Kluyveromyces lactis: one gene and its partner. The protein of the gene in region 1 interacts with the protein of each later gene in a biochemical or structural test. Links are inferred from orthologs where the notes say so. Each region holds a gene or a part of one and is shown on either strand. Other genes may lie near its edges. The genes, in order: SKN7 and SLN1.

Evidence for each region.
Region 2: of the proteins of SKN7 (region 1) and SLN1, one has a biochemical effect on the other in vitro, tested with the Saccharomyces cerevisiae proteins (3 studies listed by BioGRID). The link is inferred for Kluyveromyces lactis from reciprocal best matches to the Saccharomyces cerevisiae genes SKN7 and SLN1.

What each region holds. Positions count from the first base shown.
Region 1 is NC_006037.1:895,087-911,269, forward strand, and holds SKN7 (kinase-regulated stress-responsive transcription factor SKN7), read left to right. Parts: upstream 1-1,844; coding exon 1,845-3,272; downstream 3,273-16,183. Other genes in the region: TGL3 (bifunctional triglyceride lipase/lysophosphatidylethanolamine acyltransferase), read left to right, coding at 1-315; Elongator subunit ELP6, read right to left, coding at 332-1,141; SET5 (S-adenosylmethionine-dependent methyltransferase), read right to left, coding at 3,666-5,144; FMP10 (Fmp10p), read left to right, coding at 5,431-6,198; FAU1 (5-formyltetrahydrofolate cyclo-ligase), read right to left, coding at 6,255-7,130; branched-chain-amino-acid transaminase BAT1, read left to right, coding at 7,288-8,511; KLLA0_A10329g (Zn(II)2Cys6 transcription factor), read left to right, coding at 8,787-10,706; KLLA0_A10351g (uncharacterized protein), read right to left, coding at 11,315-12,001; FZF1 (Fzf1p), read right to left, coding at 12,158-12,778; KLLA0_A10395g (epoxide hydrolase), read right to left, coding at 13,011-13,895; and 1 more. UniProt on the Saccharomyces cerevisiae protein: Transcription factor that is part of a SLN1-YPD1-SKN7 two-component regulatory system, which controls gene expression in response to changes in the osmolarity of the extracellular environment.
Region 2 is NC_006037.1:49,191-66,078, reverse strand, and holds SLN1 (histidine kinase), read left to right. Parts: upstream 1-2,233; coding exon 2,234-5,701; downstream 5,702-16,888. Other genes in the region: mitophagy protein ATG32, read left to right, coding at 108-1,682; RPL40A (ubiquitin-60S ribosomal protein L40 fusion protein), read right to left, coding at 5,974-6,352, 6,892-6,899; MLP2 (Mlp2p), read left to right, coding at 7,529-12,775; MCM10 (Mcm10p), read left to right, coding at 12,998-13,085, 13,169-14,814; KLLA0_A00550g (uncharacterized protein), read right to left, coding at 14,838-15,980; chromatin DNA-binding EKC/KEOPS complex subunit PCC1, read left to right, coding at 16,305-16,339, 16,418-16,646. UniProt on the Saccharomyces cerevisiae protein: Histidine kinase that acts as an osmosensor at the plasma membrane.

The DNA of each region.
Region 1 (16,183 bases):
AAGATGAAGCATATACTCACTATGGAACTAAAGCATAGAGTAGAGATCATGGACAGTCTTGGATTGTTATCCAACTGGATCAAACGGATTGCCATTGATGAAAAGACTCCACGAAGTGCGACGGAAGTAGCCATTGTGCCTCACATGAACTCGTTAAGCGTGTCACGGATCATTGAGGGACGATTGGATAATATAAACTATTGGATGAAATGTGGTCAGGAGAGCACATGGCCTGTCATTTCATTGGTAAAAACCCGCTGTGCAGTTGAGTTCACATTAGACGACATTATTAAAGGATTTAAGAAGAGTATATAGTATTTATTCATGTACATCATCTGTAAAATAGTGTTGTATTTTCCTTCAAGTCATGGAACAAATACTGGTTTTCCACAACGTGTAGTGCAGGAATATCCAGCAAGGCACCACCACGGGTTATAGCCAACGTTCCGGTCACGTCTTTGGCCTTACCGGTGTCCAAGGGTCTCACCGACAGTACTAGGAAACTTTTATGGAAACATGAAGTGGTAAACCTTACAAACTCGACGGTATCCTTACCCAGATGTTCTGGGAAATCGTTATCGAAGGACTCCACAGAGTTGACGACTATAAGTAAGGAACATAGTTTAAGTAAAGGGTTGATCAATTTCAAATGCAACTCGTCACTGTTCAACTTGAAGAGTGCCATTAAAATTTCCGGTTTTTCCAATATTACCACTGAAGGACTGTTGGATAACGACTCTTCAAACTGCTTCAAAACCCATTCAATAACTACATCCACAGGTTTACCTACGTTTTTGACAACAAGATCCTCTGCTATTTGTAAGACGTTGTATCTATTCCGTGGTACCTTCAACCTGTCAAATGCAGTTGTAAAATACGATTGATGGTTCAAAAACGATCCGACTACCACTTTCACGGGATCACTGCTGCTCAAACCGCTATTGGATCCACTGTTATTCCCATTTAAAGAGACGGGCCCACCTAAAGTGACCGTTTCCACAAGTGCGTTGACAAACCAGGATGCATTCGTCGCTACCGTATCTGTCACCAAAACCAAATTGGATGACGAATCTGTGAATAGATGCCTGGAAAGCACAGAATGGTCACTAAAAATCTGAAGCTCCTGTTTTTGCACCGACATATCCCTTGTAATACGTGCTCAAAGAGTTACGAGCAGCTGAATAGAGCCGGTGGTACCAACAAGAAACGTCATCTCATCGCATCGTTTGCTACTATTTCATTTTGAAATTCAACCTGTAAAGTATAAAAAAAAAAAAGACAAAAACTGGGAAACACCAGACACAACAAAACAGCAGAAAAGTAACACTTCCGGTAGTTAACCTCGAACATGGATTACATTACTATGTACCTTATAATCAGGCCTATTTAAATATTTAGTTCTTATTCAAAAATAATAGTTCTACCGGAAGTAAATTACCACTTTCCGTTGCCAAATTCACCGAAATTGCTCGTCTTTTTCTTCTGGGTTCATGAAAAATTGTGTCCAGAAAGGTTTAAAAAAAACACACGAACCGAAATGACGATAACAAACACAACGTCAAACTGTTTAAATAGCAGACGTCTGTGCCTCTTGGTTGTGGTTTATCACGGACTGTATCACTGTTGCCGTTTGTTCGTGTGGCATTTAACCTTCTGAATTGTGTTTCTTTTGTTCCAAGAGTACAGGTTTTCTTTTTAGCGAAGTGATTTTATCTGGGGCTTAGGTTTTACGGGCTTAGTTGTACTTGGTTCACTTTGACACTGACGGTATCAGTAAGAGAGTTTCTGCTGGATTCAGATTCATTCATAGAACAAAGGACGAGCAAAAGAACGGACGAAAAAAAATGGATGATTTAGGTGAACAATTGAGTGAGGGCCATAAAGACGATTACGACAATGGAATTGGCTCTGTGCCTGGAGGGTCTGGTTCCAACGGTAAGGGGAAGAGTCAAAGGACGTCGTTCAATGATTTTGTTAGAAAATTGTTTCTAATATTGGAATCAGAGGAATATACCAGCATTATATCGTGGTCGCCTGATGGTAAGAATTTTATAGTGCTAGACACGAATAAATTTACGACGGATATCTTGCCTAAACACTTCAAGCATTCGAATTTTGCGAGTTTTGTGAGGCAGTTGAACAAGTACGACTTCCATAAAGTCAAGAGGAAGAAGAACGAAGTGTCTGAGGGGATTCAAAACGCGTGGGAATTCAACCATCAGTATTTTAGAAGACACGATGAGGCAGGGTTGGATAACATTCGCAGGAAACCGTCATCACAGAAGAAAATACTGGTGGATGAGAACTCCGTAATAGTGAGGAAACTAGGTGGTGCACCCGGAGACGATGGTGCCTTCATTGCCGGTGACGAAGAAGGTATGACTGCGAAGATGCTTCTGAAAAACACGGTGAACAAGACCAAATTCAACCAATTAAAGCGGAAGGTGGAAGACATGGAAAACCAGGTCCAGTATCTAACAAATGAGAATCATAATATGAAACTGGACCTTCAAAAGATTCAGTCTAAGTACAATATGGCGTTGGAAAGTCTCCTTTCCACTGAATCCTTTAACTCCCAATTAATTTCTAATTTCCAAATTCTTGTCGATGCGTTATCGCAGCAGGGTTTAAAAGTACCCGTAGGTTTATCCTTCGAAAAAGGTAATTCTCGTGCGGATAATAAGTCTCATCAGCAACGTCAAATATCGGACTCAACCGGATCAACACCCAATGCAAATATCCCAGGGCTGTCGGTTAATACTACGTTACAGAAACAGGAACCCATTGAGCTACTTCCGATGGACCAACATCCTGTCTTGCGTCCAGGATTCCACGTTTTACTTGTCGAAGACGATTCTGTTTGTATCCAACTCTGCTCCAAATTCTTAAGAAAATATGGTTGCTCAGTGGAAGTGGTTACTGATGGATTATCTGCCATTTCCACGCTGGAAAAACAGCGATTTGACTTGGTATTGATGGATATTGTTATGCCAAATTTAGATGGTGCTACAGCGACATCCATTGTTAGAAGTTTTGATAATGAAACTCCCATCATTGCCATGACAGGTAACATCGATGATCAGGACTTAGTCACTTACTTACAACACGGTATGAATGATATCCTAGCTAAACCGTTCACAAAAGATGACTTACACTCGATGCTAATACGATACCTCAAAGATCGGATCCCGTTGTCTGAACAAAGACAAAATTCTAATAATGACCCTAAAGCGTATGTAGAGGAACCAATGCTAAAGAAACCGCACATATAAGACAGTTAAGGTATCCTTCATGCTGCTATCAAAAAAAAAGATAAAAAGAGAAATGGGCCAGAAAACAGGACACTTCATTTCACTTCAAGAACTCTTGTTTGTTTTCTTTCTCCATTATTTTAAACACCAAAAAAGTCCTCTTTTATTATACGTTTGGTCTGTGCTTTTTCGGTTATTAATTCTATTCTGTACTTCCTATTATTGATGGTACATCGATCAAAAGTACGGTAAAGTTGTATCTATATCCTTCTTATTACTTATAAAATTATTGGTTTTAGTAATTATCTTTCAATCTTCGTCTCGTTGGATCTTTTATGACGTTGACAGATGAGTATATTTGTGTATACGTACAGGTATATTATGTATGCTCATTCGAGTATGATAAGCAGAGTTTTATTCTTCTTCGACGGCCAGTGTGACATGGCTATTGAATCGCACAGACATTCTTCTCTTGGAATTGACATCGGATGGGATTTCTAGATCGAACTCATCACCGTTTTCTAAAAGTTCCTTGAGACTTGGTCTGCAACTTTTCATTGAGGATTTCCTCCTTGCTGTGGTAGATGAATGTGCAGCCTCTGATGATATAGCGTGGTTAGACGGGTCACTGACTATCTTTTGGCGTTTCTCCCATTCTTGACAACAACGAGGACAATGACAGAGGAATCCATAATTAACCCTTAGTTCTCTTCTTCTCAAGGTGACACCATGCAATGGATTCACGTAAGTTAAACGCAACTGTTCCCCCTTCTTGATATCCTTTCTAGCGTATAATTTAATCCCATGTTTTGGTTCCAATTCGTACCTTACATTAGGTTCACAGCTATGATTAATATGAGCCACTAAAGGGTAAACTTGACCCATAATTTGGTTCAAATTGAAGGTGCCTGTGAGGTTTAAGAAATCTTCATAGTCCATATCACATTTGGGGAAAGATTTGGCGAACATTTCAAACGCATCGGACCATTGTGTCTCCATATTCGGTGCTGAGACATCCGCATACAGCTTACCGTTACATGACGCATCAAAAGTACCACCAACATTGATGGAATCAGAAGCTTGCCAGCGTACTCTCTGACTAACAGAACACAAGGATGTGAAGAGTTTCCACAAATTGGATGTTGGCTGCATCACATGCCTTGCATAGATGACACCAACGGCATATGCGGCAACAAGACTTTCTTGTAAACAGAAATTCTCGAACTTGATCCAATTGGAGCTATTGCATAATGAGTTTCTAGAAGTGGCATGTTTCAATACGGAATGGGTAGTGTCTAGTTTCTTGCACTGCTTCGAGCACCAGATGGTGTTACACATGTTACAATCCAAATTGTTCTTGATGATCAATTGTGATGACAATGTGGTGAAAGCAGAGCACAAACCACAACATTTACCTCTACTTACCAAAGGCTGCTTGTCCAATTGCGGAATCACAGTCAATGGTAACTGTTCATGGAAGACCAATCCACCTTTCCTAATATCATCGGTGGCTACTAATCCTTTCCCAAACTCAGTATCAGCAATGGTAACTTTATCCAACAATTTTTTATTCAACTGGGCAATATCAGCATCCGTAACGGTACTGGGTCTGATGTCGCCAGTATAACTGTCCAATTCGTTCAACTCTGGAGTGTACAATTTATGCGATTTCAATGCTTGGTATAATTCATCTTTGGTTACTGACCAATTGGAGCGTCGTCGGATCAAATGTTCGTACAACGTATCTATCAGCATATCTTCGGCAGCCGGTTCTTCCTTCCACCAACGGACCACTTCATCGCAGAGCTGGGTTCGGCTAGGAGTGATCAAGCTGGACCCGGTGCTCTGATCTTCATCGTTCAACCGAAGTGTCTCTAGCTTCAAATGAACCATCACTTCAGGCCAAGGAAATTAACAGGGGAATTATGGTTGTGGATTTACTAGTATTGTTAGATGCTCCTACAGAGTTTTCCTAGCAGCGGGGGGCTAGATCCCTCTTTGCCACTTCTCTATCTCCATCTTTCATTCGCTCCACAGTAAGCATGAAAAGCTAAACAGAATTTAAAGGATTCTTAACTAGACAAACCTTTAAACCAATGACTATACTCCGTTCATGAGAGAAGCACATCTATAAGGGCGTATATAAGACTTAAAACACCTGCAAGAAAACGAGAAACAGATGTTCAGAATTATTAGAGATCCGCTGTTAAGGAACACTATCCGTAGGGCTTCTACGGACGCTACAAGTGAGAGCATTGCTGCAGCAGCAAGACAAGCCAAATTCGTTGTAAAGAAACCCTCATCGAACCGGAAATGGACCAATGTGCTGATCTTCGGTACATGTTTCGGGATAGGTTGGTTTACAACACAACATCTGACACTTACTGATATCATGGCATGGTGGTTCTACGGGAAGTTACCGGATACCGACTCCAAGCTAATCGATTACAGAGATGAGTTAAACCAAAGATGTGACAATTTATCGATAGTGAAGCAGCTTCTCTCCAAGGGGTACGTTGCCGTGTACAAGCAGCCGGACGCAGACGCGACGAATACGTTGATTGACAAGACCTTGCGTGCCCCCGGTGCCATCTGTATACCACCAAGAATCTATTACAATCCAACGACCAAGGATACCGTGTCAGTGTACCATTTAGGAATGAAACTAACCGGGTATCCGTTCTTGGTTCACGGTGGTATACTAGCTACTGTTCTTGAAGACACTATGAGAGACTCTGTAAAGCTAGTGACTGGCAAATCAGCCGAAGTGACGCAACGGTTGAAGTTAAACTACTCTTTCCCCACATTGGCCAACCAATTCGTTGTCGTTAGAAGGACCAAATGGGAGCAAAAGGGCAAGAACGACGTCGAAATAGAAGCCGAGTTGTTGGACCAGTCGGGTAGAAGACCTCTAGTAAGAGGTAAAGCCAATTTCAAGTTGAATTAGATTATTTTACCCACAAAGTACATACATTATTATAATTTTAACTACACATCACTGCTCTATGTATACCATTTCACGGTACCGTCACCACAAACCAAACAATCCACAGTGTAATCATGTTGTTCCAAGGGAACGTCGTCCACCAACTGTTCCTCGAGGGCTAATCCGACTAGCAACGGCTTTTTCCCAGTGTAATGGATGTGTCTTGAGATATAATCATCGTAATAACCTGCACCATGGCCCATTCTAGCCCCGTTCTTCTTACAGAACGCAACGCCGGGCATCAGGATAACTTCTAATGCTGGCGTGGGCAATGGTTCAGGGTCAGTTCGTACAGGTTCTCTTAGCTTGTACTTGCCCTGAGGTTGCAACGCCTGTACCTGAGCCAACGAATCGAAACGGTAAAACACAAGATGTGGCCGTTTCAATGCACCATCCTGTCTCAAGTCAACCTGTTTCGATACACTAGTGGACGAACACCGGGGCAAGTAAACGGTTTTCCCCTGTTTGAACAGAGACTCTACCAATGGTTCGGTCTTCATCTCGCTATGGTCCATGTTCAAGAAACATGCAATGTGAGTGAAACCCTTGGCGTTGACAAGTGACAATGCATGACGGGACACAATTTCAGATTGGCGTGCCAATTCAGCCTGCGAAAGGCCTCTCAACATGGCTTTCACCTGCGTTCTCAATACCTGTTTCTGAGAGATCATCGCACTATCTTGGTGAGTCATGCATGTGCAGCGAACCTGAGCGAAGATTACCGAAGCAAAGTCTGAACCAAGTACAAGTGGAATTGAAACTTGTGAGTCAATCACTGGAAACACTAAGCAACAGAATACCGGCTTGTAGGAAATGCAACCGGCAATCTGCCCTCGGCAACAGGTGGGATGCCTGGTTCCTGTCTCTCGAGACCATTTTTCGATAATACGCATAGACTGAGGTGAAAAAAAAAAGTTTCAACCAACTGATGACATGTATATAAGAGGCAGATAAGAAGGGCATTTGTCTTGTTTCTGTTCTTGTTTGGCCCGTTATTGTCACCATCTGTATCATTTGTCCTAGCTATTTCATCCCTGGCAAGGAACATTCATGAACTACATTGGACTACGGAATTGTGCAAGAGCTGTTTCCAGCAGAGTTTCCATTCCATCAAGAGGTATTAAGAGTCATATTTTAACAAGTTATAGAGCCATGTCCTTAGACGCATCCAAGGTTAAAATCACCAAGGTCGAAACCCCATCGAAGCCACGTCCAAACGATGAGTTGGTTTTCGGTCAAACTTTCACTGACCATATGTTAACCATCGAATGGACAGCTGAAAACGGTTGGGGTGTCCCAGAGATTAAACCATACGGGAACTTGTCGTTAGATCCATCCTCGTGTGTGTTCCACTATGCTTTCGAATTGTTCGAAGGTTTGAAGGCGTACAGAACCCCAGACAACAAGATCAGCATGTTCCGTGCTGATAAGAATATGGAACGTATGAACAAGTCAGCAGCCAGAATCTGTTTGCCATCTTTTAATTCGGATGAGTTGATCAAGTTGATCGGTAAGTTGATCGAACAAGACAAGCATTTGGTGCCTCAAGGTCAAGGTTACTCCTTGTACATCAGACCTACAATGATTGGTACTACTAACGGATTGGGTGTTGGTACTCCAGACAGAGCTTTGTTGTATGTGATCACATCTCCAGTGGGACCATATTACAAGACTGGGTTCAAAGCCGTGAGATTGGAAGCTACGGATTATGCTACTAGAGCTTGGCCAGGTGGTGTTGGTGACAAGAAGCTTGGTGCCAACTACGCACCATGTATCTTGCCTCAATTGCAAGCTGCTGAACGTGGTTACCAACAAAACTTGTGGTTGTTCGGTCCAGAAAAGAACATCACTGAAGTCGGTACTATGAACGTCTTCTTCGTGTTCAAGGACTCCAAGACCGGCAAGAAGGAATTGGTTACTGCTCCATTGGACGGTACCATTTTGGAAGGTGTCACTAGAGACTCTATTCTACAATTGGCCAGAGAAAACTTGAACTCTGACGAGTGGATCGTCTCTGAACGTTACTACACTATCACCGAAGTGGAAGAAAGAGCTGCCAAGGGCGAATTGGTCGAAGCGTTCGGTTCCGGTACCGCTGCTGTCGTGTCTCCAATCAAGGAAATCGGCTGGAACGGTCACGATATCCAAGTGCCATTGTTGCCTGGTGAACAATGTGGTCCATTGACCAAGCAAGTGGCTGAATGGATTGCCGATATCCAATATGGCAGAAAAGAACACAAGGGATGGTCCCGTATCGTTGCTGACTTGAACTAAATAACCTAAATACAACCTACCGTGATTATGTGTCACTAGCAACTATGTAGCACGGATCAGGTAGCTCAAATAGTTTCTCTATTCCCTCTTATAAACTGTTCTCTCTTTAAAGCTTCATTATTTCCTTATCTATAGTCATTATTTTAAAGGAAAAGCTTTGAAATGAATCATCATTTCTTCTACAATACCAATAAGACAAAGGGTAAAGTGGTAAAGACCGTGTCCTGTATTCAGCCATTGATTATTGCCTTGCTCCTGATGGTATTGTTGAATAAATGGTTGGTACTATAGAGATGAAGAAAGTTGCTAGGTCTTATATGGGATGTCAGAAGTGTAAGAGTTTGAAGAAGAAATGTGATGAGGTGAAACCCCATTGCGGGTACTGTAAGAAGCGAGGCTTCCAATGTGATTATTCGCGTACATTGAAATGGGGCGGTCGTCCGTTTAAGGATAATAGGGTTTCCAAGAAGATGAAGTTTGAGCATACTTATGTTGTCGAGGGAATATGTGCGGTGGATTTGAACGCTGCCACTGGGAAACAGGCCACCAAAGTCAAGAAGAACAAGAAGATGATAACCAAGAAAACTGTGGTGGTAAAGGAGGAGGAACCAGTTCAGGAGAAGCAGCTACAAGAGCTGGTGCAGGAGCTGGAGAAACCGCCTTTATCGGAGCCTGTGATTGAGATAGAGAGAGTGGAGGAAGAGGGTAATTCTCCACAGCGGGTCAATATGGCTCTTGTTTCGTCCACACCACTGTCTCCTCTTTCTCTGTCTCTGTTCGATGGGTCCAAGGATGAATTGGACGATAGTATCGCCGGCAGCCAGCGGATCGGTGGTTTTCACAACGATGATGACGATCTTGTGCAAAGCCTAGATCTTGAATTCTTTATGCCTTCTATTTCACTTCCAAGCTTGATGATTCCTGATCTCCTACTGCAGTCACCAGAGATGGCAGAATCGTTTGATTTCTTTGTGAACCAGACTTCAAAATTGTTGGTTCCTGCCCCAAGCTCAATTTATACCCGTAACCCATTCTTCAATTTCTTACCCCGCATGGCTATGAGTAACACCGCATTAATGAACTTGTTGTTGGTGTTTGGAGCCAACCATAAGCATAAGATTCTACAATACCAGGAGTTATCAAATGGAGATTCCTCTTTGGTGGCTAATGACTTGTTGATTAATACTTTCACCAACCTTATGGGTCAGTTAACCAATTTTGATTCAAGAAATAGTGATTCAACCTTGGCTACCATTCTATTGTTAGCTGCTTTCGACATCTTCTTTGGTGATAAGAAACAAAAATGGAGAACGCATGTTTATGGCGCAAGGAAAATCATGAAGGAAAGGATTTCTAACGATACAGGATCAGTAATGTTGTCTAATAACAGTGCAGATGTGGAACAAGAGTATTTCCTTTTAAGATGGTTTGCTTATACTGACATCATTTCGTCTTTATCTTCAACGAATTCAATTAACAATATTCATAAACTTACCACTTTGCGGTACGAAATGGAAACCACTATTAAGGACAGCTTGATGCAGAAGATGATGTTATTAAAAGATATCGAGTACTTCACAGGAATGGAAGTAATATGCCTATGGTTGTTAGCTGAGATTTCTCGTCTGGTTAACGAGAAAGAAACTGCTACTAACAATATATTCCCACAGGATCTTATTTTGAGAGCTTTGGAACTCGATCATAAGATGGTTTCATATTTAAAGGCCAGCGAATTGAAGAGAAACGAGATATTTCAGTCATATTATCTTTCCAAGACTGACGCAATCACAACGGAAAGCTATGGTGCGTATAGAATTCTTCGGGCCACGAACCAGATATTTTCCCTTACAGGTGTGTTACAGTTGAAACGTAGAGTGTTGGGTCTCCCTCCGTCTAGTCCAATAGTGATAGAACTAGTGAAAAATATCACTGAATTGATAGAAACATGGATTGAGTTTGGCTCTTCTGCTGAGACATGTATTATATTTTGTATTTTCAGTTGTGGATGTGAATTGATGGCTCCTGAATTACATCACTATAGGCCATTGTATCTGCAGCATCTGCTCTCCTTGATTCAAAAGGGTGTATCAAGTGCTGAACAGGCTAGAAATATCGTGGAAGAATGCTGGTCATCAAATAAACAATGGTGGGATATCTTCAAGGAAAAGAGTTTAGATGTTACGTTTGCACTTTGATATCACGAAGGTAAGATGGGTCGGTTTCAACCAATAAGAGGTCCGACCAAGATAGTGAACGCCAAGATTTATGGTTTTCTTATAATGATTAATAACTTTCTCTCGTCCGCCTTACCTGAAACCAATGAAATGTCTTAATTCACCGATAACTTGATAATATAGCAAAACAATATAATCATTACTATTCAGCCAATGACTACAGCAGCTCTAAACAATGAGGAAATTATATATGTCCTTCTTTTCACTTCTGCATCAGGTTTCAATTAGATGAGCTAATTGTCTGAGAAAAAGTTCTTATGCACCGCCTCATAGTAAATATATCATTCTAAACAGTTTAAATTCTTTTTATAAGCTTCATTGGATCTGTATTAGCGATACTAGGTATGCCATCTAAGATTATTGAGTTGAATCATCATAGAATGTGAAAGTTGCATTGGAGTTACGTACTTTTAAGATACCATGTTATTTTGAGAATTGACACTTGTACTTTAAGTTACTCTGTAACGCTATTTGGAAGCTGGATTCCTGAAATGGTGTTGCCTGAATATATGACTCTCCAGTATCAGTGAACTTAAGGCAGTATTACACAGGCATTAATTTTAATCATATTACAATTTTGTCACTAAGTGGAAATAGAACATGTCTTCAAAGGTAACAAATTCAGGTTCTCCCAACTGGACAACAGGACAATCTCTGTCCAGAATGCAATGTAAATTTCCAAGGTGTGAGTTCAATTCCTCCACTTCAGAATCTTTTAGCTCTTCATTGATGTAGGCCAATGTGATATGAAACTTTATAGAATCATGAGATGGATCTTCAAGACCAGTCAATGCAGAGATGGAATCCCTGAGCTGTTTGATGGCTGTCTCTTGGGAAGTATTCGATGGTTTTACAATTACATTAATGGACCGAGGCTTACTCGAAGGCAGTTCGTCTTTCGGTGGTATATGGACCTTCAGTTCAACACCGCTTGGATTAGTTCCCTGGTCTCTAAAATTGGCATCTTTGAACAATTGTGCAAGATGGTTATGACACTCTGAAATGCTTGCATCAGCACCAAGCCCCGTAGGCCAATGACCGACTGACCTATCGTGTTCGTGGCAGCAATTCATGATTGTAACATGGTAACTGGAAGGTGGAAGCAGGGTGATCTTGTCATAGAACGATAGTCGTTTAGCGAACCTGTAAAAGTCCAATAACCTATTAAAGAAATCAGTCTGCTGCGGTATATGGCAAATTATAGTGTTACCATGGAACGTTTTGACCACTCCATTATCGTCAAACTTGAAACTCATGCCTCAATGGGTTGCTAGACTAAAGCGTGCTTCGTCTTTTCTAGATATGACAACGTTAAGGAAATGTTGAGTTTTAAGGTTCTATTGTCCGAAATATTATTATCTGACCTATACAGAAGAGGATAATGGACGTGATATACTGGCACTTAGTTATGGTTACTCAAGATCCGTGTATAATCCGTCTGCAGAATACTCTGATGATGATGTATTTATATTTTCTTCGAACGAGTATTTTAGCAAAGATTCCGGTATATATATATGATACTCATCGTAGTGTTCTAGTAGTTCCAGGCTGGATTGAAAAGAAGGATACCCACTACAGCTGCTATCCTGGCATTGCAAGTTATCCCAATGTGGAGGGGTTTGTAACGGTGGGTTCTGGTCGAGAATTTCGTGGATAAGGTGTAGTTCTAATACATGTTCGTTCAATGCCTCTTTTGAGGGAGCATTAAATGGACAGCCGTAATATCCACATTGGTAAGTCGAAGTGTCGTCTTGATTCTGCGTATGCGTCTGCTGATGTCTCTGAAACTGCTGTTTAGTGGCAAATCCCTTACCGCACACACTACAGTTGTATGGTTTGACCTTGGAATGGCTGAGCATATGTACTCTTAGATGTGAGGGCCTTAGAAACGCTTTATCACATCCAGGTTCAGGACAATGGAACGGTTTCTCATTTGTATGAGACCTTACGTGCTGTCGAAGCAAGCAGGGCCTCGAGTATTTCTTACCACATGATTCTATGGGACAGACGTATCGTTTGGGTCTTTTCTCCATGATGATTTTGGTGTTCTTGGGGATTCTTGTTGGCACTTTACCATCTTATTAATAAAGTTACATCGCCCTATATATATATACTCTAAATCAAAAAACCATTCTGAAAAGGAATGTAGCAGGACCAGAAACTATCATCACTGTGCAGCTCTCAGTCTCTCCATTAACTGAAATTTTGTGCTTAGTTGTCTCTATGCTTTCTTCTTCATCGCGCAAGGTTTAATCAATTATAAACTTATAAAGCTATATTGTCATGGAGGAATGTATTAATGTCATGGGCAATATCCTGGACGTGAGTTTCCAAAGCAAAGTGTCCAGAGTCCAAAAGGGTCAACTTGAATTTTTGGGCATGTTTGCCAAAAGCCTCGGCTCCTTCTGGAGTAAAGATGTAATCGTTTTTACCCCAAGCTGCCAAGACAGGTATCCGATGAGCTTTTAAAAACTCGTGAATTGCAGGATAAATGGTCAAATTGTTCTGGTAATCGTGAAACAACTTCAATTGAATGTCAGTTTGGCCTGGCCTTTGTAACAAAGCAAAATCAAGGGTATATGCAGCTGGTTCTATAGCTGTTTTGTCCTTAACACCAATGAAATATTGGTCATCGACATTCTTTCTATCAGCTATAAACTGAGAAAGTGGCTTAACAAATACTGGATCAGTTTGGGTAGTCTGCCAGTACTTTTTGATAAAACCCCAGAATTCATCTCCAAGTGCCTCTTCGTATGCGTTGCCGTTCTGAGTAACAATACCTGTGATGGAAGAGGGATCCTTCAACGCTAAACGGAATCCGACTGGAGACCCATAATCAAAGACGTAGATGGCAAACCTAGTAACATTGATCTCTTTCAAAAACTCTCTGACCGTGGCAGCCAAGTTATCGAAGGAGTAATGGTAGTCTTCTGGAACTTCTGTGAATCCGAACCCTGGGAGATCAGGTGCAATGACATGAAATTTATCAGAAATCAATGGGATCAAGTGACGAAACATAGTTGAAGAAGTGGGATATCCATGCAACAAGACAATTGATGGATTAGATTTATCACCTGCTTCCCTATACCAAACCTTGGTGTTGTTTGAAAGGGTTGCTGTGTGGAATGTCTGGATACGAGAGTCGGTCATTCTTAGTAATACCTTAAATTGGGATTAGTTGCTCTGCTGATGATAGTAGGTGTCAAGGACCGGTAGTAATTATGTGATGGCAATTACCCAATTTTACCGTGTGTCATCGGAATGGTCCCACAGTTCTTTGTTGTTCCTTTTATATATTTAAACCTTGTAAGCACTTTTCATTGTTCTACCTAATCTTTGATAAGAGCCCATTACCGGGATCCTATCAATGAAATGTTACTGGGACATGTTCAACATCAATACTAGGGGAAAAGACAACGTAGCAAGTAGTAAATCCTGCAGTTCTACTGTAAAGAGTGGAGCTTATTCAGAAGTCTGTCTAAATGACTGATGTCTTTGGGGTCTCCAAACATCAGTATTTCTTGTAACAGTGTGCACGGTATCCTTAATGAGTTGCTGTATAGCTTCTCCATCTACCAAGTAAATACAGGATTCGCAGGTAGATAGATTCAAACGCCATACTGTGTAGAAATAGACCTTAATTGAGGTTAAGTTGACATAGAATTGATTCGCTCTCGAGTGTGACATTTCATGCATATCATAAACCCTTCACTCTGTTCGTCCAATCAAGGGTCCAGATGGCCATAATTTTGAATACAGTAAAAGTCCCGATACCATTGAAGATTCCAGTAATCATTCCCCAGGTTGCACTGAAATTACAAATACCAGTCTCGTTCGTTAGTTTATGTTTTGTAGCTGCTTTTGACGACTTCAAAAGTCATTTTATTCTGCATGTTTGAGTCTCTTAAGTTGGAATTGAATTAAAATGTTGTAGACTACGATCAATTCATCAAGTCAGGATTTTAAGGCAGCTGGGACTGGAATCAAGAGCAGTACTTAAACACTTATTCAACTTCTATAATAGACATTTACTGGCTGTCGAAAAGAAAGTACCCGACCTATAGCAATGGATCTGCCCTTATTGTCAGATCCATCCATTAAAAGGATTCAGTTGTTCCAAGGTGTCAGAAACCAACTAGTGAGGCTTTTCCAGCACAATGAAAGGTAGTAGCGCAGCATCATAGAAACTACATGGTAAACTGCTAATAACCACTCGCTGATGGTATCAAGAAGTCAATTTAGTTTTGATAAAATTCGTTTTAGAACTGTTGTTAAATATAAATTAAAACTGCATAACATAAGCTTTTAACATAAGAGGAACTCAAAAACAAAGCAGGCGACCAATAAGGTCGGGAGCCATATACAGTCCTTTCCTGTTTGGAAACCTGCAAGGGCCGTAGAAGAAGTTGGGGGTATTTAAAATAGTCTGTGAGTTTTGTTAATGTTTGAGATCACACTTCAAACATGTTCACAATAATTGATGGAAACACACAATTGGAATCAAAAGGGTATCGATCAATCAACGTAGAATTGGTTCACCTTCAAACTCTCGATTTCATAAACATCGTCAACACCTGACTTCACAATAATGGAGCCGATGTTGTTACCTGTGGAGAAGAAGAAAGTGTTAGTGGAAGTGACAGTACCGTTATTGAAGTAAAGTTCGATAATGTTTCTGTCAACGATACCATAAACATCGAAGGTGCTAGAATTACTAGAAGGTGGATTGCTAACTGAGAGTCTTTGAGTGAAGAATGGGTTCTCTTGAACGAATGGGATGTTGGAATGACCACGGTCCAAGAAGAATTGCTTGGAATTAGCTTCGTAGCCTAATCTCAAGTATTCGTCGCTGTCCTTGTCACCTTGGAAGTATAAGGATAAATCGGTGAAGACCCAGTTATGGATTCCAGTGAAATTGACGGAATACTCAAGAGAGAATTCGAATACACCGGTAGGGTCTTCAAACTCAAGCACTTCGTGAGATGAAGAGTTCAACGTCAAGTTTTCAAGGGTGTATGAAGTACCGTTCTTTCTCAGACTAGTGAAGTCAAGCACAGGTTGACTGTTCAATACCAACGCAGTTGTGTTTGAATTAATATTGTATTCAGTAATGGTGAAGTTCCTGACCAAACTCATAGATGAACGCCATGGGTCGGTAGGTACTTGGTTAGCGTATTGCCAATTAGAAGCCCAAGCAATACCCAAGACGTCTACTTCATTTGGAGTATTGAAGAAGGTTTGTAGAGCATAATAATCTTTACCCAAGTCAAGGAATCTAGTTTGCTTGTCGAGTGGTTCGAAGTGAGTACCGTTGAAGTCACCGATGAAGTATTCAGTACCAGAACCACCCAAGATAGAGCCAGGGTTAAAGGAAACAATCATGACCCATGCGTACCCGACTTCTTCCAATTGAGAAGTTTCGTCAACTAATGTAGAAT
Region 2 (16,888 bases), about 830 kb from region 1:
GTCTTAGAGTGAGCTAAGAACTCATTTATAAAGGGGTTTGCTAGTGTTTGTCGTATTGTCACTACAAAGGGTCAGTTGAATATTTTACTATTTTTTTCTGTTAACAGATGTCTGGGTCTAAAGGGGTCTGGGGTGCACCTCCTGGTAACAATAATCGTCAGTTATATTCACTAGATGCTGGAAGCAGCGGCAGCGGTGTTAGTGCCAGTAGTGCTCAGCGACACAGTATTCTCGATCCACATGACTCAGTTATGGATTTATTGAACGGACAGCAAAGCTGTGCATTCGATTCCAGGCTGATCCAAAATCAAGATTTAATCGATAGGAAGGGTAAAAGTAACAATATTGATCATAATGATATTAATACTCACACTCATAGTAAAGGACTCACAGATTCATGGCAGGCCATTGATCGGGATGAATATTCTTTTTTAAATGCTGGAAATCATAATAACTATCATAATACCTCAAATGGCGACTTCAATCAACAATTTGGCGGGGTGTTATCATCTGACACTTCTGAAGAAGAGGTTGAAATTAATGCTGCTCCTTCGCCTAATTTGAGTGCTTCTCAGCAGCACAACCAATTTCTAGCCTATCCTTTATCATCAACAGGTTTTGGTGATCAGGGAAATAGTGAAACTACAGTCCATCAGTTTTCTGACGGTGATCCAGTTAAATCGACTAAAACTGGTCAATTTTCAAAAGCAGAACTAGGTGCTGGCACTGGCGAAGATGAGACGATAATGGTCAATTTGGGCCATTCTTGGGCGGGCAGCTTTTTTGTTATGCCGAAATTGTCCTTATCGGAGTCTATGAAAAGATTCAAGATTTTAATTTTGAGCGATGGAGACTCAGCTAACTCTTTCTATAACCGTCTATCTCGGTATCACCGACTAATGTTTGACGTCGGAAAACTCAACGAAGCTTCAAAAGAGGAAGCATTGAAATATACTGCTTTCATGATAATCTTTTCAGATTCAAAGAAAGTGACTACAATCCTAAATAGAATGTGGAAGAAATACGGAGATTTCACTTTGATTCCAATATGTCAAAAGGGTCAGAAGCAAAGCGTCACGGAAAAGGTCAAAACATTTGCTAACTCTAACAAAATAAAATTGATGTCGTACCCTGTGGTAATATCCGATCATTACGAGATACACGGGTTGTTGCGGCATTTGCACTCTCTATACGTTGAAGTAGATTCTGACTATGAGACGGATATACCTAAAAAAACTAAACCAAGAAAAGGTGCAAAAAAGAAGCCGGCCCCTCATCTTGCAAAAAGATGGTGGTTTTGGCCAATATCTATAGCGCTTGGCGTTGGGATTGGGTGTTGCGTCACCTTTTATTTCAGCAAGTTCGAGACTTCCTCGTATAATTCATCAGTTGGGGTTATTCAGACAGCAGATAAGGAGATCGATGCTATTGTTGACGCTATAGAAGGAAATTCACCGTCAATACTTGAGGAAAGCTCTCCGCAGTCAATTTCTGATTTCTTGGGTCAAGTGTGCAAATTAGTTAAGGATACTGCTATCCAGATCAATGAATTATTAAAGCAGTTTCTTTCGGCTCATTTAATGACGTCTGCTTGGATTCAATCCATTGGTAAAGAATTCATGCAACCTGACTCGCAGAGTACCATTTCAAAAGTCACTGCTTTGGATTTAGTGATGTTTTGAACCGGGGTACGTTTATATGCTGCAATTTGGTGTATGTAGTGATGTAACTAGATGTTGTTTTTTTCAAAAGTATGAATTGTTGCCCAACTTTTGTTTTCAGATTGAGCCTTCAATATACAATTTTAGTCCCTAAATGTCAATAGCACAATATTCAATTCTGAGACTTTATTTCAATCTGTTTTTATTCCCAAGGTTTCTCATTTAGTGATTTGTCTCAACTAAGTATCCCAGTTCATATAGGCTATCACAATCTATGTCACTTTAGACAGGATACTTTTTGATAAGTTGTGTATTTTATTTTTGTTTACTGTACAGGCTTGTGACATTTTTCAAGGTTTAAACCCTTACTTTATGTTAGTAAAAGATCCTCATTCACAAAATGAAAAACTTAGATGAATTAAAAGAAAACAAAGATCAAAGTTTAAGAAGTTCATTGGTTCTTGATAGGAGACGTCATGAGGGGATTGTAAATTGTCTGTCATTAATACCAACCTAACCTGTATTCCAGACTTCAACCTCGTATGCTAACTATCGGACGATAATAATTCACGATGTTGGCAGGCTTAAAGAGACGTTGCAGTCTTAAAGCTCTTCGGGAACGGTTTACACCGCCGTTTAATGTTGGTTTACGAACCCAACTTATTATTCTCGTGTGCTCTATTTGCGTTTTATCGTTAACAATCATTACGGTTACTACTGGGGTTTATTTCACAACGAACTACAAATCCGTACGAGCTGAAAGATTACAGGTTGCAGCACAATTAAAATCATCACAAGTTGATCAGAACTTGAATTATTTATACTATCAAATATATTGGTTGTCTACAAGAGACACATTACAAGATGCGTTAGTCAATTTTAGAGCTGGTAATTCATCTAGAGATAATTGGAATTCTGCAGAAGACAGTTTAGAAAAGTTTCTTGGTTCTTCAGGTTTGTTCAGTGCTGCTAGAGTTTATGATACGTCTTTCAACACCGTAATAAACTCCACCAATAATGGGTCTGGTGACAACATTCCGGAAAACGTTTTAGCAGAGCTCTTTCCTCTATCTGGCGTAGAGCCTTTGTCTTCTTCGCTACTAACTACGGGTATCGTTACAGATCCGGTATATAACTGGACAAATTACTTGTTGTCCATGTCATTGCCAGTTTCAACAAATCCATCTATTATTCTGAATACTAACGAAATTGCCGGCTATATTACTGTCATTGCATCGGCGGAAAGTTTAAAGGCTGTTGTAAATGATACAATTGCTTTAGATAAGTCATCCGTATCAATCCTATCTGCTGTTTTCGATAGTAATAGTTCACTGACTGGTTATCATTTCGTTTTCCCTCCGCATGGAACCTCATCATTCAGTTCAAAAGTGACTTTTCCAATTAAGAACGGCACGTTTATAGCTGATGCATTCGAAAATGGGAAAGTTGGTTCAGTTATGAAAACAAATATGGTTCAGGAGAGAAACATAGCAGTAGGGTATTCACCACCAACTTTTAAACTTGTAAATTGGGTGGCCGTTGTTACCCAACCTGAACAAGTATTCTTGTCTCCCACTATACGGCTTATGAAAATCATTGCTGGTACGGTGTGCGCTATTGCCGTATTTATGTGCTTATTGACTTTCCCTATAGCACACTGGGCTGTGCAACCTATAGTCAGACTTCAGAAGGCTACTGAAATCATTACATCTGGGAGAGACTTAAAGCACTATAGCAACACTGGCAATTCAGATTCAAATACTGCAATTACACATTCTAGGACTCGTAGCACATCTAACCAAAACCAGGTGATGAAGCTGTTCAACAAATCTGTCACCAAAGGTACGCCCAGTAATTATCTGAATCACAATTATAATGTTTTCCCTCCAAGTAGAACAGATTCACCAAGCGTTTCCGCAAGAAACTCACAGACTATACCCAGAGGCCCCGGAGACCTGACACGTTCAGCTACTACTGGATCTACCCCATTTTCTAATGATTCTTCTTCATATACCTCCGAACGATATATCAAATCAACCAACCTAGTGGAAGCATATGTCCCAGTATACAGAAGATTTTTTCAAGATGAACTATCAGAACTCACAGATACATTTAACACAATGACAGATGAGCTAGATAGACACTATGCTCTTTTAGAAGAAAGAGTTCGTGCTAGAACAAAACAATTAGAAGCGGCTAAGATTCAGGCCGAGTCTGCAAATGAAGCAAAAACAGTTTTCATTGCCAACATTTCTCATGAATTGAGGACTCCACTAAACGGTATCCTTGGTATGACTGCAATTGCCATGGCAGAAACTGATATGCAAAAAGTGCAGAACAGTTTGAAGTTGATTTTCAGATCAGGTGAATTGTTGTTGCATATTCTAACAGAACTTTTGACTTTCTCTAAGAATGTCTTAAAGAGAACAAAATTGGAGGAACGTGACTTCTCCGTTATGGATATTGCTTTGCAGATTAAATCCATCTTTGGCAAACTAGCAAAAGATCAGCATGTTAAATTGTCCATTGCCCTTACACCAAATTTCATTAGAACTTTGGTATTATGGGGTGATTCAAATAGAATCATTCAAATTGTTATGAATCTAGTCTCAAATGCTCTAAAATTCACACCAGTTGATGGTAAAGTTGATGTTAGGATCAAATTGCTTGGCGAATACGACTCAAAAAGGAGTGAAAGTGTCGATTATCAAGAGGTATTTGTGGTCCCTGGTTCTGAAGCAAATGATGATTTTGAGTTCAATTTAACTTCAACTACTCCCATGAGGCTTCCTTTCAATTCTTCTAGTGGCAGCGTTAATACTGCTACTAAAGATGGATCAACTTCCCCAACAACTAAGACAAAAGAAGGCTCAATTCAAGTCGAATCCGAAACGTCAACGGAGGGCAATGACAACGATGAAAGTAGCATTGTTCTTGAAAGTAAGCACGAAGAAAACGAAGACGAAAAAGAAAAGATGTCAATATTATCTACAAGTACTTCAAGCTCTTACGATGATGCAATTTTCCATTCGCAGTTCAAGAAAGTTCTGTCTTCAACGGATTCAGATACGGAAGAGAATACGTTCAGAGATCTTAAGGTACCAAAGACTTGGGTTATAAGTATGGAAGTGGAAGATACTGGCTCGGGTATTGATCCTTCACTTCAAGAATCTGTTTTTGAACCGTTTGTTCAAGGTGATCAGACGCTCTCTAGACAATACGGTGGAACTGGCTTGGGCTTATCCATTTGTAGGCAGTTGGCAAAGATGATGAAAGGTACAATGAAGTTGGATTCGAAAGTTGGTGTTGGAAGTAAATTTATTTTCACTGTGCCACTACAGCAAACAAAAGAGATAGTATTCGATGGTGCTGAAAAACAGTTTGAAGATGAGTTCAATATTCACAGCAGGAAGAACAGAAAGGTTAAATTTAAAATCAATTCCTCTAGGAAATCTGTTCAAACAAAGAAATCTAAATCTAGTATCGACGGACATAGCGATAACAATGTCAGTGAGAGAAAAGCCAGTAATTCTACTGAAAATAGCGTTGGGAATGTTCGTGTTGATAGACCATTTTTACAAAGTACGGGTACGGCGACCAGTACTAGGAGTATATCATCTGTAGCAAGTGAAGTTACTCGGCATAGAGTTTTGGTTGCTGAAGATAATAATGTCAATCAGGAAGTTATAAAAAGAATGCTTCAGTTAGAAGGACTCACAGATCTTGATATGGCATGTGACGGACAAGAAGCTTATGAGAAAGTTGAAGAAATCTTAAAGAATGGCGAATCCTACTCCATGATATTCATGGATGTTCAAATGCCGAGGGTGGATGGGTTGTTGGCTACCAAAATGATCCGGAATGATCTATTATATAAAGGGCCCATTGTTGCGTTAACCGCATACGCAGATGATAGCAATATTAAAGTTTGTCTAGAAAGTGGAATGGATGGTTTCCTACCAAAACCCATTAAAAGACCATTGTTAAAGAAAATAATCGCACAGTACTGTTCGAAAAAAGAGAAACAGAGAGAAGAATAGATTTGCGAATGTAACATTATATAAAACTTAAAGGTACTCATACACATGTATATTTCCGACCCTTAATACATTCGATGTGTTAAATATCCAGTACAGTGCATTACCGACAGTCACACAAAGCAACGCTCAGGAACGTTCAATGATATTAAACAATGTTAAAGAAGATTTATATTTAAATCAAAATAATAGATCTGTAAAGCTAATATGAAAAAACACATATGATAGTGAATGTGCGTAAATATGTATGTACTCCATAGTGGTAGCAGAATCGACTATTTTAACTTCTTCTTTGGACGCAATTGGTTGGTGTGACCACACTTTCTCTTTCTACAGTTAGTAGCTCTTGGTGGCAATCTAGCGTAACACTTTCTGCAAACGGACTTTTCACAGTTGTACTTAGAAGCCAAAGCCTTTAAAGATGGTTCAATGATACCACCTCTCAATCTCAAAACCAAGTGCAAAGTGGATTCCTTTTGGATGTTGTAGTCAGACAAGGTTCTACCATCTTCCAATTGCTTACCAGCAAAGATCAATCTTTGTTGGTCTGGTGGGATACCTTCCTTGTCTTGAATCTTAGACTTGACATTGTCAATGGTGTCGGAAGATTCGACTTCCAAAGTGATGGTCTTACCAGTCAAGGTCTTGACGAAACTGTTTTCAAAAAGATATGATTTGTTAGTAAAAGTTTGAAACTCGATCAGAACAAAGTTCTTAAGGCAATCTTATTGGGACGATTCCTAGAATTAGTGAACGTTCAAGTTAATTTTGCTAGATTAGTAAAGCTTAATAAAAAACCAAAAAAAATTCCCTCTGTAGGTATGAATTGTTGTGCATTTGATAGTTAGGAGGTGATAGGTCCCATTAAACTGCTTCCTTGTATCCTTATTCATTCTGCAAAGCGTACTTGCTTTCGTTTGAAGAAATCGTGACATATATCTCACTCAACAGTTTAGACCGCGTACTCACACTCTCCGAAATGAAACGCTCAAGTTCTCACAGGATAGCGACTATCATGATATATGTTACACCAAACACAGTAAATCCTTGTCATTTTCATTAGTTGTTATCCGAGTTCGTCTTGTTGTTTTTTAGCTAATGTGCTTTCGTCCCATTTCAAAGTAGCATAAACCGTCTTGAATCACCAAGAAACCCCAAAATAAGATGCCTTTTGCTTATCATATTGTGCATACATTTGCATTTTTGAATCTTGTCCTTTCCTGATCTTTTTGATAGTAATCAACAACTAAGTACAGCTATCTTAAGTGCGTATGATTAAATGATATAATCCAAAATACTTTGAGTATGAATTCTTGCTTGCTTTCCTCAATCTGGGTTTGGTACATAGAAAGTTGGTGAACCTGAGGAATCGACAACGAGCAAAAACGAAGTGATTTCTGCAATTAGAAAATAAAAATACCGTTTTGAGGAATATATGCATTTTTAATTGTCAAGCCCCGAAATTTATACACCCAGACACACTGTTGAATAGTGCACGGATGTTGTTGCAAACCGTCCCAACTTGGAACGTAGAATTTTACTGGTACCGGTTACCCTGATTGTTAGTTTAGATACGACTTCTGTATTTCGTTCTGCAGTCAGTTCGTGGTATCTGGTCGTTATTTTGAATTTCACCGAATTGGACCTAATATTGAAATTGAACAAAAATTACCTGTCAAGAACAAAGCCTATGTGCATTGTATATGCTCATGTATACCTGCAGAAATTTTTAGTATACTTCTAATTGAATATCATAGCGATTAGCTTGAACACTAGGTAAAAGTAGCGTCTTATAGATTGCTATTCCATTGTTGTGTTGTGGAGTTGAGAATGTCCGTAGAACCCATTGCCTCTAGGGTCGCAGACTTTCTACAAGTCGACCAGCAACTGATACAAGACATTAATAATGATGTTTTAGGTAGGATTGAGGAGAAGTTGGAAGATCTTCGGAAACAAAAATCTGAAAACCTAAGAATAACTGCTACCTTGGATCAATTAAAATCTCAATCAGAGAACAAACTAGAATCATTCAAAATTCACATCTCTCAACTAGCCAAGGCATTGGAAGATGGGAAGGATGAGCGCTTACACTTTGAAGAAGAGAAAAGGCGTCTAATTGAAGGAAATTCACAAGTGACCAAAAGAATCATAGAATTGGAACAAGAAATAGAAGTAGAGAGGCAACAAAAAGAACTTGCTGACGCTTCTAAGCAAGATATTGCAGAGTCACTAAACGAAAAAATTGAAGAACTCAGTTCTACCAAAGCTAAATTGAATGAAGCACAGGGAGCGAATAAGGAACTTAGACAAAAAGTCGTCAATACTGAAACTGAGCTACAAACTCAGCAGGCCTTAGAGCTACGTTCGAAAAGCGAGATTTTAAGGATGGAACAAGAAATCACATTATTGAGAGAAAACAATGACTGGTTGACCAATCAGTTAAATACCAAGACCGTACAACTCAATGAGTTTAGAGAAAGCACAATTAGTGAATTACAAGATTCTCAGTTAAAGGTATCGAATATGGAATCAGAGTTGGAAATAGCTCGAACCAGTAATCAGAAACTAAAACAATCGGTACACAGTTTACATGAACAACTGGAGCAAAAACTTTCCGAGAACAAAGAAATTAAAGATGAGTACAATTTCTCTAAACAAGAGCTTACGAAAGAGATGTCTTTAAAGCAGAGAATGATTGATGCTCTAGAGAAACATATGGAATCATTGAAGAAAGAAATGGATGCTACAAAGAATAACATGGACTCATCATATTTCACCGAAAAAGAAAGAGACGAGCTCATTGAAGAGCTCAATGCGGTCAAATATCGTTTAGACGCATCTGAATCTAACTGCATAAAACTTAAGGAGACAATCGATGAATTAACATCCAACATAAAATTAGAAGACTCCGAAGTTGGTAATACCACTGCGTCTTCAGAAAAATCGGTTTCTGTCATACCTAAGTTATATGGTGATTTGGGAATGCTCAAAAAACAGCTGGTTATTGAGAAAAGACAAAAAGACGAGTTAAAAATGCAAGTGGAAGCATTCGTTGTTGAATTAGAGCATAAAATCCCTGTTCTCAATTCCTTCAAAGAGAGAAGTGAAATGCTTGAAAGAGAGTTAAATGAGGTTACTATTTTGTTAGAGTCAACTGGCAAAGACCGTGATCAAAAGTCGTCACAACTTGATTATTTGAAAGCTACTGTGAAAAGCTATGAGACTCAAATAGCCTCCCTATCTAAGCAACGTGTTGACCTTGCCCATCAGATACAGTACTTACTCGTGAACGAATCTATTAAGTCAGAGGATGGCGGACCATTATCCGCTGAAGAATTGCAATTTGTCAAAAATCTAACCAACTCTCAAGAAATAACAAAGACCTCTGACACTCAAGGCATTATAACCGATCGACTAGTAGAATTTAGATCAGTAGTTGAGTTGCAGCAGAAAAACTCCGAACTTCTTTCTACAATTCGCAATCTTGCTGATGAATTAGAACGCAGGGAAGCTGAAAACAAATCTCAAATCCAGGTATTAGAGGATGAAACGGTGAGAGAGGCAAAAGAAACCATTCTTACACTTCATGATCATGCACAGAACCTTGAAAACCAACTAGTCATTCTATCAAAGGAGAGGGACGCATACAAGGCATTGTCAGTAAATGCTAGCTCTGGCACAAACACACCTAAGGCCATTACTTACCCTTCTCCTGATAATGACGATAAAGTGAAGGATCTCGAAACAAGACTCACCGCTGTCATTCAAGAAGCAGAGAATAATGCCAAGGAATGGTCATCAGAAAACAGCAACCTGCGTAAGAAATTATATGAAATATCACTTAATTTCGAATCTGAGAAAACTTCACGTACTCTTGCAGAAGATAGGTTAAATCTATTACAATCAACTTTAGAGCTTTCCAAACGCCAATGTGAGGAGCTACAAAAAAGATCATCTGATCTACAAGATATTTTAACAAAACAGGACAAACGTACACAGGAGACTGTAGATTCCTTAATCAAAACGAAATCCACTTTGTCATCTATACAATCGGAACTATCCATCTTGAAGTCTGAAAAACAGTTTATGGCAAAGGTTCAAAAGGAACTGAAGGCAGAGAACGAAAGATTTTCCAAAGAAAGTGTCGAATACAAGGTGTTAATTGCGCAACTTCAGACACTCCAACGTGAGAGAGAAATGTTACTCAAGGAAACTCAGAATTCTTATAAGGAAAAGCTTAGAAAATTGGAAATTGAGTTGTCTGGTTCACTCGAACGCCTTGAAGAAATTGAAAAAAACACCACAGGAATTGCTAGCAATAAAGAGCATCAATATAATTGGTTTCAAGAAAAGATTGATAAGTTAACTAGTGAGGCAGCTCAACAGAAAACGACCTTAGAAGAAAAAGAAGCTCAACTTCAGAAAATGCAATCCACTATCAATGAACAATCCGCAAAACTCAAGGAGGCCGAGGCACGGGCACAATCATATACGATGTTAAGTAATGTCGATGATGCTCAAAACCTAGTTGAGACTTTGAGACAGGAATTGGAAAAGGTTAACTTGCAACTTTCTGATTCATATTCACAAATAGAGCATCATAAAACTCTGGCGGAACAGTCCGTGCAATCCGTTAATGAAGTAAGCCAGGCCTTTGAAGAGGCCCAGAAGGAATCTCAGAAGACAATAATCACTCTAGAAAACGAAAGAAATCAATTACAGAGTACTGTCAATATTCTCAACGATCAGGTGAAAGACCTGAATAACGAAATTTTCCATCAAAAATCAGAATACCAAACTGAGAGGAACGCAACAATGGAAGAAATCAGTAAGCTTCAGATGGTGAAAGAATCTGTGGATCGAACTAAGGCTGACTACGAAGAAAAAATTGCAATGATTCAGAAAGATCTAGAAATGCAAACGCAATATGCAAATGAGAGTCAACGGAGCTACGAACTTGAATTGCAAAAGCATGCAGATGTCTCTAAAACTATTACGTCCCTAAGAACTGAGGCGCAAAGCTATAAATCTGATCTAGAGACACTTAAAACCCAATCCCAACTGGCTATGGAGAACTTGAAGAATAGCGAAAAATTATGGAATGAACAGAAGACTGAGTACGAAGATAAACTGTCCGTTTTGGAGCAACGAGTCCAAGAACTATCAACCCAAAATAAGCTCCTGTACGACCAAATTGAATTGCTAAACAAGACTGAAGATCGTGACAACTCTCATGATTCAAGTGACTTGTTAATCAGCTTGCGCCGTGAAAGAGACATGCTAGAAACTAAACTAGAAGTTGCATTGAGCGAGCAAACGGTTCTAAAACAACGCCTTGATATAGCAAAATCAGAAATTGAAGATTTGAATACTCAATTATCTCAAGTTAAGAATAGTTCCAGTGAAAGCGCTCATTTGCTAGAGCAGCAAGAAAATATAATGAAAGAACTTGACCAACTGCACTTGTTAAGAGAAAGTAACGTTACACTAAGATCTGAAAATAGTTCATTCAAGAAAGAATGTGACAATCTAAAGTCGCAATTGCAAGAATGTAATGATAGGCTGGCGCCACTACAGTCGTCCATTTCCTCTTTGCAAAATGGTATCAAAATTAAAGAACAGGAACTCATTCAATCGAAAGAAGAAGCAGAACGGTGGAAAAGCCGTTCTCAAGATATCTTACATAAATATGAACGTATTGATCCTGAAGAACATGGTAAACTAAAGGAGGAAATTAACGATGTTAAAAATGAACTGCAAACTACCAAGGATACTTTGCAAAGCGTCATTGCCGAGAAAGATGACTGGGAATCGAAGTTCCAAAGAATTAGGCTTCAAGCACGTGATAGATTGAATGCCTCCAAGGAAAAGGAACAATCTTTATCATCAGAAATAAACCAAATCAATGAAGCTAAATCTCAAGTGGAGGCCGATTTAGGAAAATGTAAGACCGCTTGCAAAGAGTTAGAAGAAAGATTACAAGTGGTAACGCAAGAAGCAGAAACAAAGGAACAGACTTTTAACTCTCAATTATCTAAATTGCAGGAAGATCTACATTCTATTCAGGTTCAAATGGAAAATGCTTCCAAGACCGAACAGAATAATGCAGATTCAGATGAAAAAATAAAATCGTTGACTGAGACTGTGGAAATGTTAAATAGTAAAATACAGGAGCTTGAAGCCGAAGCCTCCAACGCTCAAAAAATAGTAGCTGAACATCATACGCCAGTTATCAACGAAGACACGAAGTCAATAGTGGATAATTTGAAAACAGAATTTGAAGCTGAAAAAGAACAATTAATAAAAGATAAAGAAAAAGAATTGAGGAGCAAGTTTGAGGCAGAAAAAGAATCTGCTTGGAATTCCAGAGAGGAAGAGCTCCGGAAACAGTTTGAAGAAAGAGAAAAGAGAATTCGTGAAGAGTGCGAAAAGACTACTGTCCAGTCTCCTTCGCAGCCTACCTTGGATATAGACATCGATGCTTTGAAGAATGAATGGGAAAAAGAATATGAGAAGCAGACTCTGGAAAAAATTAAATTAGCAGAAGAAGCCCTCAAGAAACGGATCAGGTTACCTACTCAACAAAAGATTGATAAAATAGTTGAGGCAAGAAAAGCTGTTTTAGAAGAGTCCTTTGAAGAAAAGGTAAACGAAAAGGCCCAAAAATTGGCAGGAGAGATCGGAAATGATGCCATTACTCTAGAAAAGCATCGTGCAGAATTGAATGCACTTAAGGATTCCATGCGTAAGCAATTTGAAGCAGATTTGGCAGAAATAAAACAAAAATCTTTCGAAGAAGGGAAACAGCAAGTTTCCTTGAAATTGAAATTTTTGGAAAGCAAGATCAGGAATTTAGAACAACAAAAGTCCACAATTAAACCTGTAGAGAATGACACTTCTAATATGAGTGCAGCATTCCAGGCCCCTGTATTTGGCTCTCATTCAACATTCACTAGTCCCTTCTCAACGTCAGAAATTTCTCCTAATAAGAGACCCATAGACGACACCGCAACAGAACAGCCTGAGAAACGTCACAAAGAGCCTGAAAGTGATACTGAGGATGGTCAGGAAGCCTGATTCTCCAGACGATTTTATGGCTGTTAATATTACCGAAGTTCTATTTAATTTTTTTCTATTATGTATCATTATTTGACCATTCGTTTTCAACATGTAAAAAATACTAGTATTACTTTCCACAGATATTCAAACGAGAAAACAAAATAATGACATCCCACAAGTAAAGAATGAACGAGAATAGTTACAGAAGCTATCGAGTATAGGTAACAGTGAAGATGCATCATGTCATATGATCTAACTGACCCGAGAGAAATTACGGCGTTCGACCCGTACGAGGAATTATCTGATGATGAATCTGAAATCGAAAGAGGTATGTTCTAATAATAATGGTTACCGAGATCAATGACATTAGAATATCCTACTAACATATTATAACCAATCATTAAATCAAAGTGAAACGAAGAATTGTTGAAATTGACACTGAGAAACGAGATTTAACTAACCGGCTGTTGGAACTAGAGAAGAAGAGAAACCTCAAAGACCCTAATTTCGATTCTATCGACGTTCCAGAGTCTCCTAAGAAATCAGATAATGCTACAAAAGGAATAGAGGATATCAAACATATTGCGCCAGTAGCAGATATAGAGGAAGCTACATTTAATGTTAATGAGGATTATGTAAGGGAAAAGGTCAAAAAGTTGGGTACCACTTCTTACTTTACTGAAAAACTTCGCTCCATCAATACAAATGAACATGAAGCGATTAAAAGGAAGAAAGAATTATTGGCACATCGAGTTTACACATTCAATGGCGACATGTTCGATGAATATGAACCAATTACTGTTGATGAAAAAGATGATTTGAGTGGTCTGGTTATAGACAGAAGGTATGTACCGTTGGCCGTACTTAGGAAACATACTAAAAACATAAAAGTGCTTCGACTTCCAAAGCTCTTCAGTAAGGTGAGAGCCCCTAAGTTCTCTGAACCTGATTATCCCAATTGGTTGGTATTGGGTATCATCTCAAAGAAAACTGAACCAAGAATGACAAATTCTGTGAAACCGGTGAAATTCTTCAGCCTAACCATAAGTGATTTCCAATTTGAACTGAATGTTATTTTCTTTGGGAAAAGTATAGTTGAAAAGTATTACAAACTAAGATTAGGTGATTTGATTGCTATACTTAACCCTGAAATAATGCCTTCCAAGAAACTGGAAGCGGGAGCAAGCCCTAGTTACGCTACATTTTCGTTAAAAGTTAGTAAAGACACCAATAATATACTGGAACTAGGTCACAGTAAGGAATTCGGATTGTGCCAATTTTACATGAAGAACAAAGGCAAGCTATGTGGTGCGCCAATAAACAAATTGCATGATAACTACTGTGCATATCATAAAGAGGCAAAAATGAGGCAAAACAGTTCTAGAAGAGTTGAAATTAGTAGCTCTGTGGCAATGAGAGCGCCAGTTGTCAAAGGATATCAACAGACTATTGTAAAATCACAACACAATAATGGTAAAACATCCATAAGATATCAACAAAATCCTGATAAACCGTTTGTACGAGAACCGGCAGCTGCAGAGACCAACAGATTCCTCTTCAGTTCTGCAAATGCCTCTACCGCGTTTTTCGATGACGACTACGAAAATCCTGACATACTGGCCAACCTTGATAACAAAAGACGCAAAATTCAAGAACTCAGAAACAATCGAAACTTGGAGAAAAAGTTAAAGGGTCTATCCGACAAATTGTTGTCAAAGAAGGAAGACCGAGTCAATCAAGAAGCAAAAAAGACTGCGACGTTGAGCATGTTCCAACATGGTTTAGCGAACCAAATTGGTTATGACCCAACAAAAGGGAAAGCGTCTTTAGAGATGCTTGAATATTCTACAGAGAATAAGGCGCCAAAGAATGATAAACAGCTGGCGATAACGGATATTTGCAATATAAAGAAAGATAATGTTAGCCTGAAACCTTCGAAGAAACAATTGAAAGAGAAAATTGAAAAGAGAAACGCTATCTTCAATGAAATAATGAAAGGCAGCCAAGAGCGGCTCGATAAAGATGAAGGCTCAAGTGATGATTTGGAAATTATATAGACAATAATGTAAGGTTTAATATATTATAAAGAATGTAGTACTTTTAATGATGGCTCCGTACAAGTCTCAATTCTTATCGTGGATGGTGGAGTATTCTTTCCCTCTAACTCTAGTAAGTTAAGAAGTTGCCCATCACAGCAAACTTCAAAGTTGCTCTTTTGTGACGGATCGTCTAGTACTTCGACGTTAAAACAAAATGGCAGTGGTCTGTAAAACGTTCCATTCTGTAAGATGTTTGAATGCTTCGTATTTGAATAACCCATAAATACCCTTTTCTGGAATTCTACTCTATCCAGAGAAGACTGGTATGCCAATACATGTAGTTGTGATTCCAATGGATCAGAATCGGGAGATGGCATATAAGTTGGCTCCAGATTTGTGGTATTTATTAACGCAAAATAACTAAAAGATCCTTCCAGAATATCGGGAATAGAGACGCGAGATTCGAGCTTGTATTCTCTTAAAATTCGCTGGCTAGCAACTCTAAACCTTTCAATGCCCATTTTCTGGTACTCATCTTCTTCGCAGAGATGAAGTAAATTTGCATGAAATCCCAGTGACAAAATTATGAAGAATTTAAGGACATAACCGTTGTCAAAAGTTGCCCTATACAACGGGAAATCGTTGCAGGACAACTTACCATTGACAAATTGTGAGAATATGACAGCTGGATCCATCAACTTCAAAGAGCTTGCCCATGCATTTCCTGTACCCATTGGGAATGGAAGCACTGAAATACAGTCGTGGTTCAAGGGCAGGTTATTAACGAATTCTGATATCGATGTATCACCAGAAAGAAAGAGAACAGTGTACTGTCTAGTGCTGTCAATGCTCGAGGCCAGTTCTATGACAGATGACTTGGATGTAGTTTTTATTAGGCGGTAAGGGACAATAACCTGCTCAAAGAATTGTGCTATGACGTTCGTGGCGAAATCGCAGTCTTTATCCCGGCCAGATCCTGAAAACACCGAATCTACGATGAGCAGTTCCCCCGAATATTCAAATTTCTTATTAGCGAGAAGCTTCTCATCATCTAAGAGTTTCGAACCAAGTTGGTACGATTTAGCACCTTCTGCTAAAAGCTTTGTGACAATTGTAAATGAGACACCGTTATATATCCCTAATTCTTGTTTAGTTACGTTAGACTCGTCAGGCATTCTGGCCATGAGAAAATTTTATCCTTGAAGATCGGCCTGCCAATCCTTAGCTGATAATAAATTATCTTCGCACCTGGTACCAGGACGGGCATTTTGATAGTAAGTCAGATATTAAAGACTTAAATCCATGCTTGATCTAAACTACCTTCAAACTTGATGTTCTGTTATTTTTACCCAATTAGAAATCAAAAAAGTCTTCGAAAAACGCATCCGTACTGTGTGTGGTTCATGTTCAGGATGAACTTATTGACTTTGAGATCTTTATGAATGATACACACTTGAAACTTGCTGCAGTAGTGAGTTCAATCAGCGGATAAATAGTACTCTTTTAAGATGAATAAAGGAGACACGTCTTTCGAGCACTCTTTGTATGTTATTTCTGGCTCTTATGAATGCAAGTTTATAACTTGAAATACTAACAAGTTGTGATGTAAAATGCCGTACAGACATTTGGAAATACCATTTGAAAGCATTAAACAAGCTGATGTAGCAAGGAAAGTGCTGCTTCCAGACCCCATCATGAAACCAGAGGATTTCCAAGTTACTTATTCTACGCAAGACACCAAACTTATATGTGATTTTGAAAGCGTTGACGAGCGTATTTTACGTGTAGGTGTGAACAGTGTCATTGAATCAATCAAGACAATCGTAGAAACTATTGATGAGTTGTGCTAATGCAAACAGAACAGTACACGTTCGGGGTGCCTTTTCATCATCTTCCCATCTTTCTATTACTTTCTAACCTATGGTACTATGAAATTTCTTAAGGCAGAAAAACTAAACGCAGAACAATTTGTGTCATTGCATTCGTTATTCATATTATGCAGGAACGAAAGTGAAGAAAAAAGTTAAGGATCAAGCCTAGCAATATTTACCAACAGTGTCATGAAATCCCTAAGTCTATAGCCAAGTTCTAC